Linked DNA regions of Drosophila melanogaster. The protein of the gene in region 2 interacts with the protein of the main gene of each other region in a pairwise test. Each region holds a gene or a part of one and is shown on either strand. Other genes may lie near its edges. The genes, in order: CG6337, Cpn and Tet.

Region 1 (5,527 bases), on a different chromosome or scaffold from region 2:
AACTAAACCGATTACGATGGATAATTTCGATTTTGTTCTTCATCCGCAACGATTTTCCAAGGAAGTACCCTAAATATTGCAACTCAAGCACATCCAGAACAAAAAACAAAAAACAAAGAAAAACCTAATAAAACACAAGATCACGCAATCTTTATAAACTGCAAAATTATTGAAATAATAAAAATCGTTAAATCACCTTTCAGCGTGAATCATATCATTGAGCTTTGCTTCACAAGAAGACGGGAAGACATTCTAAACCAAAAATAAAAACTAAAAACTAAAAACCTAAACTAAAACAAAACAAAATGCAAACACAACGTACATACATATATTTCAAATTATTTAACGCAATTGAAATATAATAACGAGAAGTATTTATAATAACAACGTTTCCAAACAAGTTACTGAAACTTAAAAAATTTACGAGAACTAAGATTAAGAAATCTACAGAAAGAACACACACCAAAAAAAAGAAGCTTTTGTCTGCGCTGGCTGAGTCGAATATTCTATAACCATAAATATAATACCTAAATATTATATATATCTATATAATTTCCTTTCGTTTTTATATCACAGCAACACGGATAGCAACAAAATGGGAAACTTATTTATTATGCAAGAGAAACATAACAGAAAAAGAAAACACTGCAAAGATAATAGTATAAAATCCATAAGCAGATCAAAGATGCGAAAAACAAGAAAAGAAAAGAAAATAAAGTGAACTTGTTAATTTTTAGCATTTAAGTCTGTAAAGCTCCGCTTGTAGATGAAAAATCAATAAATAAACTAAATAAAATGGTAAATTCAATAAATGGAGACAAAAAAGCTGTAAGCTTTCACAACAAAAAACCAAACGATACTTTTTGGTAGAAGACGGGGGATTTTTTTTCAAGATTACTCTTTATGTAATATTCAAGATCTCGATGAATTATCTTAGCTTTATTTGAGATATTCCCAAATCTATTTCTTGGATGGTTCTATTACTATTCTTCTATTCTATGAACTATCATAGATATAGATAGGCACACTCTTAAGGTATCATCATAGTGTTATTATAGATATTCCCGAATCTGTTACTCGAATTCTAGTTGATTTAAAGATAATGCGTCTATAATAATAATAATAGTATTGCTTACTAGCATTAAGTTTTTTTAAAGAACTTACAGCATCTACTGAATCCGAAACAAAATCATCATATAAAAATTTACACATAAAACTTAAGTTTATTAACTTGAAATAAGGTCAAATCGGAATCCTTCTTAGGCAAGCGCACTGGGAAAGACGGCATTCTTGGCAATGGGCTGATTGGACCTGCGCACGATCCTGATGTAACCCTCCTCGCCCCACGTGTCGCCGAAGGAGTTCAGGCAGCGCCAGTAGTCCAGATTGGAGTCCACGTCGTGATCGTAGCCCACGACCACCAGGAACTGTGAGCTCTTTGGATTGGTCAGGGCACGCGTCTCCTGGACATAGACGCCACTGGAGTACTGCATGAATCCAAAGGTAGCCGGATTGTACTCGACTATGACGGGGAATCCATTCGATACGTAACGCATTACGGCGGCATCATCGTTGTCGGCCACCGTGGAATAGCCGGCCAACTTCACGCCCACTGACACAGAGGATGGGGGCTGGCACATACCCGGCGTTTTCAGGCTATTGTTATTCGGATAGTCCACCTCCGGATAGAGATACGCATCTGTCAGCTGGGTGAGATAGTTGAGGGCAGCCAGGGGCGTCTGGGTGCTGCATCCGGTGCCCATGCCCGCACAGTCCAGCAGCTGCTGGGCGGACAAGGACGAGGGCAGAGGATTGGCTGTCTGCACGGCATTCATGATCTCCACGGCCTTGGCGGTGGCATAGGCCCAACTACTGCTGCAGTTCACGCCCTGATCCTCCACCGCCACGGTGAGTCCGAAATCCGTGATAATGTCAAAGCTGGCAGATGCCGCTTGACTGGCCGGTGGATCACTGGCCGCCGAGGTCACCGTATTCACGGCTTTGGGCAGCAGGGCTGCGAACTGGATGAGCCGGATGTCCGAGAACTGATTCACTGCCTCGCGGTAGGTGGTGCGATTCCTATCGGCCTGGGCATTGTGCTGCGCCACCTGGTTGCGGTTGTAGATGAAGTAGTAGTTGGCGAAGTTGCGAGCCGAAGTTGAGGCATAGGTCTTGTTGAAATTGTCCTGTAAATGGAAAGATTTGAATTCCATTACTCAATACAATCCTTTTCAATGCCATAAGATACAAGATATAATTTCTAATTAAATCCCATCCAGACTTTGTTTTCTTGATGACTCACATACCTCGTAAGTTTGAAAGTCCACTAGATCCTGGCCATGATTAAAGGCCCATCCACTGTCGATGGTTAGTAGAAGGCAGCAAAGTAGCAACTTGAACATGACGAAAACCCAAATCCGCACCAACTAATGCCGCCAGAACCATGGAACGATCTTTTATAGGCACCGGCAAACTCTCCTTCTGATTGCAAACGCAAATAGAAGTTTACCAAAGCGACTTACTTTCGCAAGAAAAGTGCAAATACTCGTAGATTTCTACGAGGCCTTGAATTCGCACTTGGCCAGCAGCACTCAAACGTACTATCCGTAGTATTCATATTCCGGGTTGGGTCTCCTCGATAAGCCGACGTTGGTAGGAAAAGTCGGGGTGCGCTTTGTTTGCCCAATAAACTTGTCAAATGCCCCGTTTCGTATCGTTGCGATTCGGCGGTGGGTTCTCGTATCTCTGTTAATTCGAAATCCCCACTGGCCCAGTTCAGAAAAAAACACCCAAGCCCATATGCCCATGGAGCATCGTAAACGCCCCTCTAATGCCAACTTATCGTTTAGTCTTCAGGTTTTGTCTTCAGCGCAGGCATGATTAATCACAGTCATACTTTGTGGCGCCCATAAAAGTTGCAACAGCGTTGATAGATAGATACGTAGATGGAAAGATACATAGACAGATAGATAGATAGGCCCGTTGGAAGACTTGGCCAAATTGCTGTAAACCAAGTGCTAAGTGAGTTGTTTGGTAATTTCCATTGCGGTAGTCTAGCATATACTACAGGTAGTATATATTCGAAGTAGTAATGAGGGATCATCTTGAAATTTTGCAAATATGTAGGTAAGTCCATAAGGGATTTCAGCAGTCAATGAACTTTTTAGTAGACGCAACAACAAATTCAGATTCCACGAATCTGTTAATTGAAATGCAAATAAATTGGCCACTAATCAATCTCTTCATGGTTCAATTTCAATTTATAGTTATTGAAAGTCGAGACCATTATTCATCCGTCTGCATCTTTATCATTCTGTAATTGTATTATTTACATAAAAATCAAAGTGTTATTTATTTACAAGGGATATAATAGTACAAACTACTTAGAGACGCTTTAAAAACTTTCCTAAAACTTTGCTTGCTGCATTGAAATTTGTAATCCTATAGGCGCTACAACTGTGACTTCGATCTCATCAATTATTAACTATTTAAAAACATGTTTGACTATTTTCTCTTTTGTTTCAAATGAGTTAATATGCGTTGTTATAGCCACCAACACATTAGGCAATCGACAATTACTAAGCATGCATATAATGGAGACAGCTATAGACCCATAAACCAGATAGCCCGTCGAAATGAAGATGAATATGCTCTTGTCGGTATTCCAAAAGTTTCAAATTGGTGGCCCATCCAGTTTTGGCCATATGTCCCACGGTCCAGCTCCAGACTCTATAAAACCAAGGTGTGCGGGTCGAGCGCCGCTTATAATCTCGCCGGTCTTCGAGTCTTCAGCATCTTCGAATAGTTTTGTGATTTGTGAACGCGGAAGGTGTTTTGAACATATCATTCCCAGATATCCATAAAAGGTGATTAAGTCGATCTTTTCAACATATTGTGTCGTGTGTGTTGTTATTTTTCGATTCATAATGGTCCGTCGAAGACAAGAGAACTGCAATTGCTTACATTCGACTCGAAATTTGATTTTAAACAGGGGAATCCATCGCCTTTCACCGGGCACAGCATGTGATCAGTATTTTATGGCAACGAAAGTGAAATCTTAGCCTGCGGTTGCCTAATCTAGATTTGATTTTGATTTATTTGGGCCCTCGATGGAGCCAATTTGGGAGCTGAGGAAATAAAAGGAGAGACGAAGCCGCGAAATCATTCATACATTTCGAAATTCATCCGAATCGAATGCTTGCACTAATGTAATTATGCTAAGCATATGCAAATTAGCTCATTCACCCAGTAATTATTCACGTCTCATCGGTGATCGAATTCGTAAAACAGACCGGAAATACGAACAGCGAATGCTCTGCTAGTTTCAAAAGTCTATTTAATTTGGTAAGATCGAATAAAGTTGAGAAATTAAGACAGCGCATGATTAATTACCCATTAACGCGATTGCTGACAGAAGCGGATAGTCAGCGTGATAGAAAAAACCAATAATAATTAGTTTTTTATTCGTTTAATCGATCATTATGTTTTTGATTGTCTTAGAAACAATGTTGATTTCTGCATAGGCGATCATTAAACGGTTTAGTTTCTTCAAAACCAAGCTTGTTAAACAAACAATTTATTAGTTTCTTTGTTTTATTTTGGTTTTGCCAAACATTGTACTTACTCAAATTACTCAAAAAGACATAACATCATTTCTTATGTCAATGAAGACACTCCACTGAATATTTACCAATAAAAAGTATCTACTGGATAAACATTTTAATATCGAATAAACGCATAGATTTTGAGTGTGGCCTGTTTTCAAATTGTGCAGATTTTCTAGGAAGCAACGTTGCTTTTAATATGTCCATAAATAAATATTTATAGCGGCTCCACTTATAGGAAACTTCACGATCTGCACGGCAGGTTGGTTCGATTGGAGGTGAATGAACGGGTCGAGTTGCGGCCAAGTGATTAACGTTGACAGATAGATGTGGCAAGAAAAGGGGCATGAAAAGGGGTCGCGGGATGCGATGAGATGGGATGGGATGGTGTAACTATGTATTGGCCAAGTGGTTACCTAACGCTTTCCACTCGCTCTGCTGTCCACCGTTCCAGATGCGGATGTGCTCAACGATGTGGCTGCAGATGACGCTGGGACTGGCCCTGCTGGGTGCTGTGTCATTGCAGCAACTGCAGTCGTTTCCCAAGCTCTGCGATGTGCAAAACTTCGACGACTTCCTCCGGCAGACGGGCAAGGTGTACTCGGATGAGGAGCGAGTCTATCGCGAGAGCATCTTCGCGGCCAAGATGTCGCTGATCACGCTGAGCAATAAGAACGCCGACAACGGCGTGTCCGGATTCCGGCTGGGCGTCAATACGCTGGCCGACATGACCAGAAAGGAGATAGCCACCTTGCTGGGCTCCAAAATCTCCGAATTTGGCGAGTAAGTAGCACCATCTTACGCATATCTAGAGCTCGGGGGAAGTCCCCTTTTTGGCCATAAACGAATTATCACCCAGCTTATAACTTTCAAACGGGTTTCGGTATCGTCGTCCATATGATTTGTAACGTTACGTAGGTGCC
Region 2 (5,527 bases):
CCTGAGTAGTGACAGGAGCTTCAGTTATGGCAGGATCCAGGACTTTTTCGGCTACAGGATACTCAACCGTAGTTTCTGGAATCGATGTTGAAGTTTCTGTCACCGGCACCTCTACAGCATCCACTGCTTCCTGGATTACGACAGGTGCCTCCACAGGTATGGGTTCTGTAGGGGTCGCTAGGCTTGGTTCCGGTTCAGGTATGGGCTCTGGAGCTGTAATTGGAGCGACAGCCACTTCTGGAGAGGCAACTGCTTCATTTGGCGGCGGTAATGAGGTCTCTGGTATTGGTGAAGATGTTGATTCTGCAGCTTCAACAGCTGGCACGGATGTAGTTTGTTCTAATAAATCCGGAATAGGAGCTGGTGGTTCCACAGGCTCGATTATTAAATCCGCAGCTGCCTCAGGTGGAGCAACGTCTGCAACTGCAACTTCTGTTGTAACTTCGACAGGCGGTGCAACTGGCGTTTCAATGGCAGCTTCTGATAGTACAGAAACATCGATAGGTTCCGTAGGCACTGCCGCAGGTGGTGCCGTGGTCTCGGGAACAGAAGCCGTAGTTGGTGGAGTAGAAACGATGGGAGCAGCGGCAGACGGAGCTTCAGCAGGTGCATCAGAGGGTGCGGCGATCACAGGAGCAACTTCTGGTATATCTAAAGCTGCTATGGTCACTGGTGCTGATGCTGGTGCTGGTGTCTCAGGAGTTTCTTCAGCCACTACAGCTGGTACAGGTTCGGCAGCCACAGGAGGGAGAACAGGTGGCGCTAAGTCGACAGGAGTTTCAGCAACAGCACTAGGAACGGGTGATGGAGCGATCACCGGAGGTAATTCGGGAACAGCAGATGCAGTGACATCCGGATCCGTTACTGCTAGTGTTGCAGGAACTGGTGTCGTGGCAACGACTGGCGCTGGTATTGATTCTGCGGCCACAGGAGGTACAACGGGTGGTGTTGTCTCAGCAACAGCAACTGAAGCAACTTCTGGGGTTTCTGCAACAACAGGTGGTGCAATGGTTTCTGGCTCTGGGGCTGGAGTAGGAGGTGTAGCTACAACAGTATTCGCAGCAACTTGGGACTCGGCAACGACTGGAGCAAGGGCTGGCGTTTCTGGTGCAGTTGTTAGAGTCGCAGCAGCTACCGGGGGCTCAGTCGAAGCACTTACAGGAGCGACCACTGCGGTCTCCACAGCTGGTGCAACCGACACATGGGGGGAAGCTGCAGCCGGAGCAACGACTGGGGTTTCAGTAGCCGGTGGAGCAACGACCACTGGCTCAGCTGCAGCTAGTGGTTTCGTTGCCACGACGGAAACCTCGGGGATGAGAGGTGCAACGCACTCCGGTATGGTTGCAACCGGAATCTCAGCAACAGGTGGTGGAGCTGGAGTCTCGGCGACGACGGGGGCAACTGCAGGAGCAACGGCAGGCGCAAGAACTGGGGCAACAACAGGAACAGCAGCTGGTACAGCAGCTACAGGTGCTGCAACGGGAACCGTGGTGTTAGCGGGAACCACAGGTGGTGTGGCGATCACAGGCGAAACAACGGGAGTCACGGCAGCCGGAGTGGGGGCAGAGGCAGCAACAGGTGGTGTCGCTATCACAGGCGCAGCTACAGGAATTGGGGCAACAGGAGTGGGTGTTGCAGCAACGGGAGGTGCCACTGGTGCTGAAACAGCGACCGGAATCTGAGCAACAGCAACGGGTGGTGTTGAAACTGGACTTGCTGCCGGCGGAGTTGGAGCTGCAACAACTGGAGGCGCCACAGATGCGACAGGAGCGACGGATGCGGCAGCAATTGGAGCTGGAGCTGGAATAGTAACTGTTGCCGGTTGCACACTTGCAAGGGTGGGCGGTGGAGCAACTGGAGTGACTGCAATCGGTGCCGCTGGTGCGGGAGCCACTGCCGCAGGACTTACTACTTGGACAGGGGCAGCCACTGCTGATGGCGTCACAGGCGCAGCAACTGGTGCTGAAACAGGCGATGGAATGGTTCCTGGTTCCATGTCTATCCTTTGCCCACTTTCACATAAAAGTTAATCCGTTTTTTCCTTTTGGGCGGATTGTGCCTTGTCCAATGCTTAGTTGCAAAAATGTTTCATGGCCAGCTTTTCATGGTCAGAAGACAACTGAAAACAGAGGAATGAAAACGAGAAAAACATGAGACATGGCAAGGCTGGATCTGACCATGATTTAGGCCATTGTCTTAAATAAAATTAAATCGATGAGAAACCACGTAAGAATGAGAAAAATAAGAATAAAAGTTCTCCGGAAAATACTGATTCAAATATCTATACAATAAAATTACATTGATTAAATGAGATTAGAATTGTCTTCACTACATGAGAAGTAAAAGTAAGAGCAATTGAGTTAACTAGTCTCTTGCTTCTGACGTCTATTCGAAATATATTTTTCTTTTACAAAACTGTAGTTGCTAAATTATGTAAGAGAAAACAAGGCACTTGCACAATTTCGTTCAAAAATTCGAAAATAAGCGGTCAGCAATGAAATGGTCAACTATTAGGAACTGCCTCTTAGGTAAGTCAATCCTTTTGAATATTTTCAATATTATTAACCAATTTAATTTGTTGAATAGTTTTAAACAGCGACCGACTTGCCGATGAGAAAAACGGTGTTTAACTGGCCCGTTGACTCAGTTTTCTTGGACATTTTTACCTCTTTTCATTGGTTTACCTTCGGTCAGAAGTCCGACAACTGCCCATTGAGCGCAGAAAGTATACGCATAGTTTCAAGTGCTTTTTGCGTTTTTCCAATTCCCAGACACTAAGGTGCTTATCAGCTGACCTTAGCCACATATTAAATTTGTTCCGGCTCGCACGAGGAAACATTTGGCGCTGAAAAGTGTGCTACATGCGTTGGCGCCCACCACTGCGTATGAGTGATATTCGCATATTATTCGATTATCGATTCCGTTCGCATCTTGCCAAATGCATCGGGTAGATAAATCGGGGAAACGCTTTCAAGAATTTATTCGCGATCCAGTGCATATCGCTTACCACTCGCTTTGTCAGCTGCACTCGCAGACACATAACTGGTTATTTACACAATACTGATTACTTTGCCGTATTTGCAATGTAGTTGTCAACAAAATGCGACAGGTTCCCGCGCTGCCCCGCACTGCCCCGCCCTCACCCGACCCTCCACAATCCATTTGCTATCGTGGCCCATTCAATGTCTGATGCAATGACAGTTGACAAACTGCCACTACGTAGCCGTTGGATCGGAACACATTAGCTCGGTGGAAATGTAATCGCAAAGAACTAAGAAATAAATCTTTCAATTTTTCGAGTGAATGCCGGGTAGGAAGTGCAGCCAAATGTAAAGCAATCCACAGAGGCAGCCGGCAGTTGCACATGCCGTCCGTTGGAGCAAGTGTAATGTGATCTGCGTACAATTTGCAGGCGTCGTTTTAAAAAGTCCAACACCAACACGTCCACCTACACCTTCGCCTCACTTGCCCCTCTGCTGGCCGGGAACCGAGCACACTTGAGACTTTTGCAAATAGTTTTTCCACATATGAACAGAAAGAATTTTTCTCGCAGGATGGAAAATAAAAAGAGTTGCGAACGAAAAGAAAAGAAATACATACATATATATAAATAGACGAGATGGGAAAACGCTTATATGGAAATGATTTCACTGGAGAAGTGGAGGAGCGATGCGGAGTAGTTGTGAAGATTGAATTGGCAGTTCAATTTCACGTATTATTGACATTTAAGCGTAAGCATTTGAATATAAACTGAACCCGGCTCAGGGATTGAATGCTTGGAAGGCCGAGAGCGAGTCCTTTCACAGGATGCACAGACATTGGCTGCCTATTATTTTCTGTGCGATAAATCAATCGCATGAAGCAAAATGCAGAGAAAATACCAAGATAAGTGGAAATGAAATTACATCAAGCATACAAATTGTATTTATACTTTATTCTATCTCCTCCTGCATCACTGAACTCGACAATTGATCTGAGCTGCGAAGGAGTTTGCGTACCTCAACAAATACATTTGATTTTCTTCGAATCTGTGGTCACTGATGAGTGATCTCAAATTGTAATTGCCAGCAATAGAATAGAAGTTTTTGTCATATTTTACAAATATTTCTCAAACAATGTTTTATACCGAAAAACAATACTCGGATGAAATCCATTCCCTGAAACAATGGATATTGCATTCCTGGCTATTTTCGAAGGTGAGGCGATCAACTACAAAAAAAAAAAAAAAACATAAATCAGCGCAGCGTATACACCTAATTGCCGTCATTTTGCACGCACTGTAAGAGTGTGGAAAGTCGGGCCCGTGTGCGATTGGAAAAACCAAATACAAATATGAATACAAATGCGGGGCGAAAATCGAAATTGCGAAATGTGGCAAAAGGAGCTCAAGCTTCAATCCGGAGCCGCTTCCGGGTGTATTTTGCTAAATTGCAAATATTTCTCAATTCGCATGCATCAGCAGAGAATGCAATGCAAACAATTTTCACCCAGCGGCCACAATAAAAAGGGAAACCCCCGGCGAACGCAAAAAACCCAAAACACCCACACGCAGAAGGGGCACACAAAGTGCTGGCTAGGCAAAAAAAATTCGCAAAAATCGGCGCCGTATGGCAACCCTGGTCGCTGTGTGGCTGCTGCAACTATGGCGCAATTTATTTCCAGTTTGATTGGTTTTTTCGTGCTTAATTGCACTTGGCTTGCGGGGGGTGGGCTGGTTGGTGTGTTTTCGACCATCCAATTGGGATTGGTGGGGGCGGTAGTGTGGGTGATGGCTGGTAGTTGCCCCAATTGGTTGAAAGGTCGCGCTCATCACGTGCTTTAATAATTTATTCAAATTAACACGCGTCAGCCTGCCTTTCCGCTTCCCTGGGAAAGTGTCTGTTACTGCGTTTATGCGGAGTGCATGCTGCAAACTATAAATCAATTAAATAATAAAGAGGAAAATATTCATTAAATATATATATTATTATTGTTTAAACATTTCTCTCTTCTCCGTGCAAACTAGTAGATCCGACACTTTCCATGAACATTCTTATTCTCGAAGCGTGCGGCATAAACATGATATGGCCCAGCGGGTGGCTCAGACTGCGCTCGGTTAATGGCCAACACTTTGTGGTCAGAGCAAACCGGAAAAACTGGCAGGCAAATGCAAAATATTGCACACAAGCACCCACTTACGGTCGCTACCCCCACCCACTTTTCAGGCTATTTTCACCTCCCTGGAAAGTGTGAGTGTGTAAATTACAGCTACATTTTTAATGCATTTTTATTTACATTTACATGGCAGCACAAACAGAGCCCAGTTGAGCGGAGGAATATTCTGGGCCGACACGAACTTTTGACACTTGACAATTTGATTGTTTTTAAGGCAAAGTGTTAAATTATGCAAAGCACATAACAAACACAAATCGAATGGCACGCACGTACACACTGTATCAACAGCAATGGCAAGTAAAATATGAAATATTGAACAAACAAAAAACAAAACAACAATTTGGATCAATTAACTTTTGAGAAATACTCCAGC
Region 3 (5,527 bases), on a different chromosome or scaffold from region 2:
CCAGCACTGCGCTATTGCGAAACTATTTTTCGGGCCATAATAAGTTTGCATATTTATGCATGTTATACAATTGCCAAATGTGCAGCGCAGCAAGTTAATGAATAAAATTCCATTCCACTTTCGGTGGGGTGCATCATTTCGGCCGGGTAGCATTTCAAGAAGCCCCACAAACTGGCAAATGGGTGGGGAAATTATTTCATTTTATGTTAATGATACGAACTAGACGGCTGAAATTGCATTCCTTGCGAAGGTGGTGGATGTACTTAATCGAGTTTATATTGTGCGGAAGGTAGCTTGAAAGTCAAGACAAATACTATGGAACGCAGGCAATTTAGTGAAAGCTGTTTATCAAGCCATCAAATGCAATAAAATTGTTTTTAGTTAAGCGACTATTCTCTGTCGGTTCTCTGTTTGAATTTCTTAAAGGCAAGTTATTACAATATTATAAATGATGGCGAATATTAATACGAAAACTTAATTTCAAGCTCTCATATAACATTTTTTCGTTCTAGCTTAGAACTTGAATGCTTAAAAATATATATAGTATCTGAAAGATATTTTCTTTAAATTCCTGACGCGAGTTAATTCGCCTGGCAGTGCCTGCTCCACATCTCGTTCCTCGTTGTGTCACGTGCAAATTGAGTTGTGCCGAAGCTTGGCGGTATTGGTGTTTGGGTGTTTGGGTGTGGGGATGGGTTGTGCGCGGAGTGGTGCGGCGGTGCAGGTGTGGATGAAATGAAACGTGCTGTGGGGCCCAATGAAGCCATGCAAGGAGTCCATGGACAGGCATACGCGGCTGAGTATTAAGCGTATATGAATGGGAGTAGGGGCACTTATGCCTCGCATTTTCACCCACATCCCAAAAAAAAAAACGCACCACCCACTTCCCGTGAGTGTGTTGAGATTTACGAGTTTGTCATTTGCCTTGCCTGCTTTCAAAGTCACGCACGTTACTGTTAACGAGTGTGTGGAGGGGGGGAGGACGGGGGCAGGGGTTATATCCTGGGTGTTGTTTATTTTTCTCTAGGTCAAAGCCTTAATTTGCCTGCGTGTCCTTTTGCCAACTTTTATTTTGGGCTGATGTGTTTTATGAATGAATCGTGGGCGGCGGAAAATTGTAAACAAAATATGGCAGCTATATATAGATTCATTGGGGGTAAGACGGTAATAAACTTGCAGGCGGCCGACAAATTGCATCCAACAGATACAGATACTGGCACGGAGATACATTCGCTGAACTTGAACTTCTTTCGCGGCCTGCGCCTCAATTTGTTTGGTTTTATTATTTATCTTTCTTTAAATTCTCTTTATTGCCATGTATCTGTATCTGTAGCTGTATCTTGTAGGAGCACAAGTATCTCCTTCTGTGTTCTTAGCTTTTCGCTTTCTGTTGTGCTTCTCGTTCCCATGTACTCTCCTTGTTTTATTTTCTGTTTTCGGCGCTTCTGTTCTGAGCGCGCCAAAAAGTATCTTGAAGATGTACGCACGTTACTGTTAGTTACGAGTATCTGTATCTTTGTATCTCTGTGTGTCGCTTTCTGGCACGTTTTCAGGGCCTCGGCTCAACTCTTCACAACCAGAAGAAGTTCAGAGCCCGCTGCTTTTTAATTTAAGTTGGCGCTAAGACAAACGCAAAATGTATCTATCAGAAACAGTTCTTCTTTTAAAAGTCATTACTCATTGCCATAAGTGTTTGCGGTCCAAAAAGAGAAGCCTCTGCCTTTACTGTAATATTATTATTTTATTTTGTTTATTTGTCTTGCACAAATAAAGCTCGCTGAAATTGCCTGCTTAGGTGATTGTGATTTTGTTTTTTGGGTCTTCTTTGAGCTTGCACTTATTGTAATTTGATCCTCGGATGACCAATAACAATTGTTATCTCTTTGTTTACATGTTTACGCTTGGAAAGTATTTCCTGTGCCCCAAATGCAAATTTCAATTGGAAATTTGTTTTTCTTTGGCTTTCGGTCGAGAGGTGAGTTTAATTGAGGGATTAGGAACAAAAGCGTAGAGTTTTATATTTGATTGGAGCTCAACATTTTTATACATTTGCTCAATTGGCTTTATTAATTGGAGTCGGTTTTATGAAAGGGATATGGCCATTCTGTTTGGTTTCTTGGAAACGTTCCTTACGATTCGTTTTCAAAGAGTTAGTTATGTTCTGTATGCGGCTATTTGTCTTTTTGTTTGATGGCTATGCTTAATTAATGAAAAAAAAAAACCATTTATTTAATTTTCTTTGGTACCACAAATAAAATGATTATATACGCAGAATAGTTATATATAGATAAAAGGTATACATAAAGCATCCCGATTTATATATACTTAAATATATGTATATTGTTAAATCCCTACTACAAACCTTAGTTGTTAATCCATGTCCTTTCACGAGTTTTTTTCCTCGGAAAATGTTGAGTACTTAGAAGCTATTGGAAATCCAAGCCAGTTTCACTATCCATTTGCCGACCGTCGTTGGACCGTTAGAAAAGCCGCGAAAAACCGCACGAAAACGAAAGTTGACAATAACAAACCGCGACGCGAAAACGGAACGAAGGGAACAAAAGAAGGAAATCGCGGAAATTGCAGGGAAACCCAGAGAACCGAGCGCGAAACTGGAGCTGCAAATTAAACCGGGACTTGGATGAAAAGCTGAAGAACTTGGAGCTGCAAGTGCGGCATCTGCGGGAGTTCTTGATTTTGTTTTGCTCTTGGATATTCTAATTCACTGGTCACATTGGTCACATTATTTGGGGCTGCCTGTTTTCGAAACTGGAACAAGTTAGTCGCGAGTCCTTGAACTCGATCACACCCACACCGAAGGGATAGTATATTCCCGAAAATCAGAATCAGAATCAGTTAGTTAGCTAGTAAGTCTCACACGCACTCGCACTCGTTTCTAGCGCTCGAACGGCGGCGGCGGTGCAAAAGTCCGTGTTTTGTAGGAAACTTTTCACCCGAAGGATACACAACAACTGAACTAACTGAACTGAAAATGAAAATGAAAATGAAGGAGCAAACATAAAATGTATCGAACAAGTTCGTGCTCGAAGCGAACAGGTTCATGTTCGCATCGAACCAATGCGGGCTCCACTCGAACTTAAGAATACAACAAGCATGACGACCGAATTCTCTTAACTAGCGGTTTTATATTGTATAATTCATTCAATACTTAAGCATTTTTAAGAAATGATTTTTAATTTATTTTTGTGCTTATTAGTCATTCGTAAAATATATTATTTTTCAGTTTGACCATCATTAAAAGATGAAGAGCAAGATTCTTTCGTTTTGAAATTTGTATTTATTTTTATGTTCCCTAAAAAGTTTTGTAAATTCTTAAATATTTAACTTCGAACTGCTGCTTGTTGCTGTTGCGCCTGCAACTTTTGGCTCGAGAGTCCTGGCACACACACACAAACACACAGCCGCACGCACACAGTTACATTTACGGCTGCATCCTCTCTCTTTCATTAACACACAAGCACACACACACACACACACAGCTGCAACAAGACACGGATACGAACATGCGGCGTTTGAAGTGCGCTTTTGTTGTTGTTGCTGCTGCTGCGCCGCTGTACAGTTGTTGTTCCAATTAAAAATTTTTTTCCCTAGTTTCGCGCTCACAATGCGAACTTGCAATCTATGTGCGCTACGAGATATTTTCTGCTGCCTTTGTTTTGATACCCTAACCAAGGAGCTTACTTAGCTTACTTAGCAATTAAGCACATTGAATTCAAGCATGCATTATATGGTAATTGGCGTATAGTTTATTGATTTATTTACAATTTTATCAGAATAGATAAGCTCGCAAAATGTGTTTCGAAATTCAGGGCATTCGCAGTTCGACCAGCCGAATAAGTTTTACTTTCCCGCTGCTGTTGCTGCGGTGCCGTGGACGTTGCTGCGGTGCTGTTGCTGCCACTGCTGCGCTGGACGCAGGACACGGAGGCAGGACCTTGTGGGCATGTGCCATATATCCTGGCATTGCACTGGCTGCCGTTGCGGGATTTTGGTACAATTTGCCTGCCATGTTTTGCCCCTTTTTTACTTTTGCGCAAAGAGCGGGGGCGGTTGATTTCATTTCACTTTTTTCTCGTGGCGGTCCTGTTGCAACCTCGTTTCATGCCAACTATTAGTGGAGCTGCCATTTTTTCGCCATTTCATAGAGAGCAATCCACGGCGGAAAATGGAAACCTTGACAGTTGCATTGTTGCCTGGCGCTGACAGAGAAAATAACAAAACAAAGCGAGTACGCGGAACGCTGCTGTCTATTTGCATTGCGTAATGGAAAATCATTCAACCTAGGGGCACAACCCTTAACCGACTTCGAATCCTCCGGAACCGAATCTCAATCTGAATCCGAATCCTCCGAACACTGACCTGTCCCATACGCAACGCATACCCATAAAATCCCTCGAGGAACCTCGAAGAAACATCTGCACAAACAACAAAATGCAGCCGGCCTTTTCTCCTCTTAGATAGTTCTTAAGTTCACGATCCGCAGACAAGTTCTTCATAGTTGGGTTTTCTGCACTCGAAGCTGCTGCAAGTCTCTCTTCGTTCTTCTGCATTCCGCTCTTTGCGTTTTTTTCTACTTTTTTCGCTCTTATTTGGCTTTTGCGTGTCCTTTGTGAGGACAGCAAAGGACATTCACACTGCAAGCAGCCACAATAAAAAGACGTGCGGCAAAGGAAACCAGAAATGTATCTGACAGTTGGTGCTGCAGAAGTATTTGAAAAATGAATGAAATGTGCGCACAGAACATGAATAGAAAAATAAAATATTAAAAAAAAAAAAAAAAAAAAATGATAAATGTAATACACTGAAAACAGGGGTAAGATTTATTAGCCAATTTCAAGTATGTATACCTTTTAATCATATAAAATGCTTGCAAATGTGTAGGAACGAATGCACGTTGAGATATGTTAGCCAATAAGGTTGATTATAAGAATATTAAAATAAAATTTAGCTTATTTTTTAACTACAACTTCAAGTGCAGCCATCTCCTAGATCGATTCCATGTACCCAGCGTGTATTCAGACTAACTTCTCCAAGGGCAAACGCTGAAGAAGAGTGAAAATCACTGGCTGAAGTTGAATGCACCATAAGATGCATGGCACACCCAGCAGGACTACAGCATCCTGTGGCTGCATTTCCTCGCCACGTTTTAATTTATTTCATTCCGTTTAAAATCCGCCAGTTGGCCGCCGGTTTTTTATCAACTTACAGCTCCAAAGGAGCATTTCCAGAGTATCTCGGTATCTCAGCATCCGAGTATCTCAATGTTTTCTTCGTTTTTTTTTTTTTTTTTAGTTCGGAGTGGCAAATGCACACGTAATACGAGTAAAGCAAGCCAAATGCATTAACAGCAACAACAAGCCGCTAGAAAGAGAGGGGCATACCCGGAGCGAAAGAGAGGGATAGACACTCCGCACAGATGCATACATATATATTTTTATTTGTGCCATTACAGCCCTCGTTGTTGTACGAGTTTTGAGTTTTCCGAAACTGAAATCATGAAAGGAGC

What was found.
Region 1: the proteins of Cpn (region 2) and CG6337 interact in a two-hybrid assay, tested with the Drosophila melanogaster proteins (one large-scale study listed by BioGRID).
Region 3: the proteins of Cpn (region 2) and Tet interact in a two-hybrid assay, tested with the Drosophila melanogaster proteins (one large-scale study listed by BioGRID).

The regions. Positions count from the first base shown.
Region 1 is NT_033778.4:13,832,661-13,838,187, forward strand, and holds CG6337 (uncharacterized protein), read right to left. Parts: upstream 2,437-5,527; 5' UTR 2,403-2,436; coding exon 2,307-2,402; intron 2,187-2,306; coding exon 1,260-2,186; 3' UTR 915-1,259; downstream 1-914. Other genes in the region: CtsL2 (cathepsin L2), read left to right, coding at 5,059-5,387.
Region 2 is NT_033777.3:12,163,555-12,169,081, forward strand, and holds the start of Cpn (calphotin), read right to left. Parts: upstream 2,633-5,527; 5' UTR 2,567-2,632; intron 2,120-2,566; 5' UTR 1,997-2,119; coding exon 1-1,996. UniProt on the Drosophila melanogaster protein: Plays important roles in both rhabdomere development and in photoreceptor cell survival. Might function as a calcium-sequestering 'sponge' to regulate the amount of free cytoplasmic calcium. It binds 0.3 mole of Ca(2+) per mole of protein.
Region 3 is NT_037436.4:2,876,171-2,881,697, forward strand, and holds the start of Tet (Ten-Eleven translocation (TET) family protein), read right to left. Parts: upstream 2,989-5,527; 5' UTR 2,363-2,988; intron 1-2,362. UniProt on the Drosophila melanogaster protein: Dioxygenase that specifically demethylates DNA methylated on the 6th position of adenine (N(6)-methyladenosine) DNA.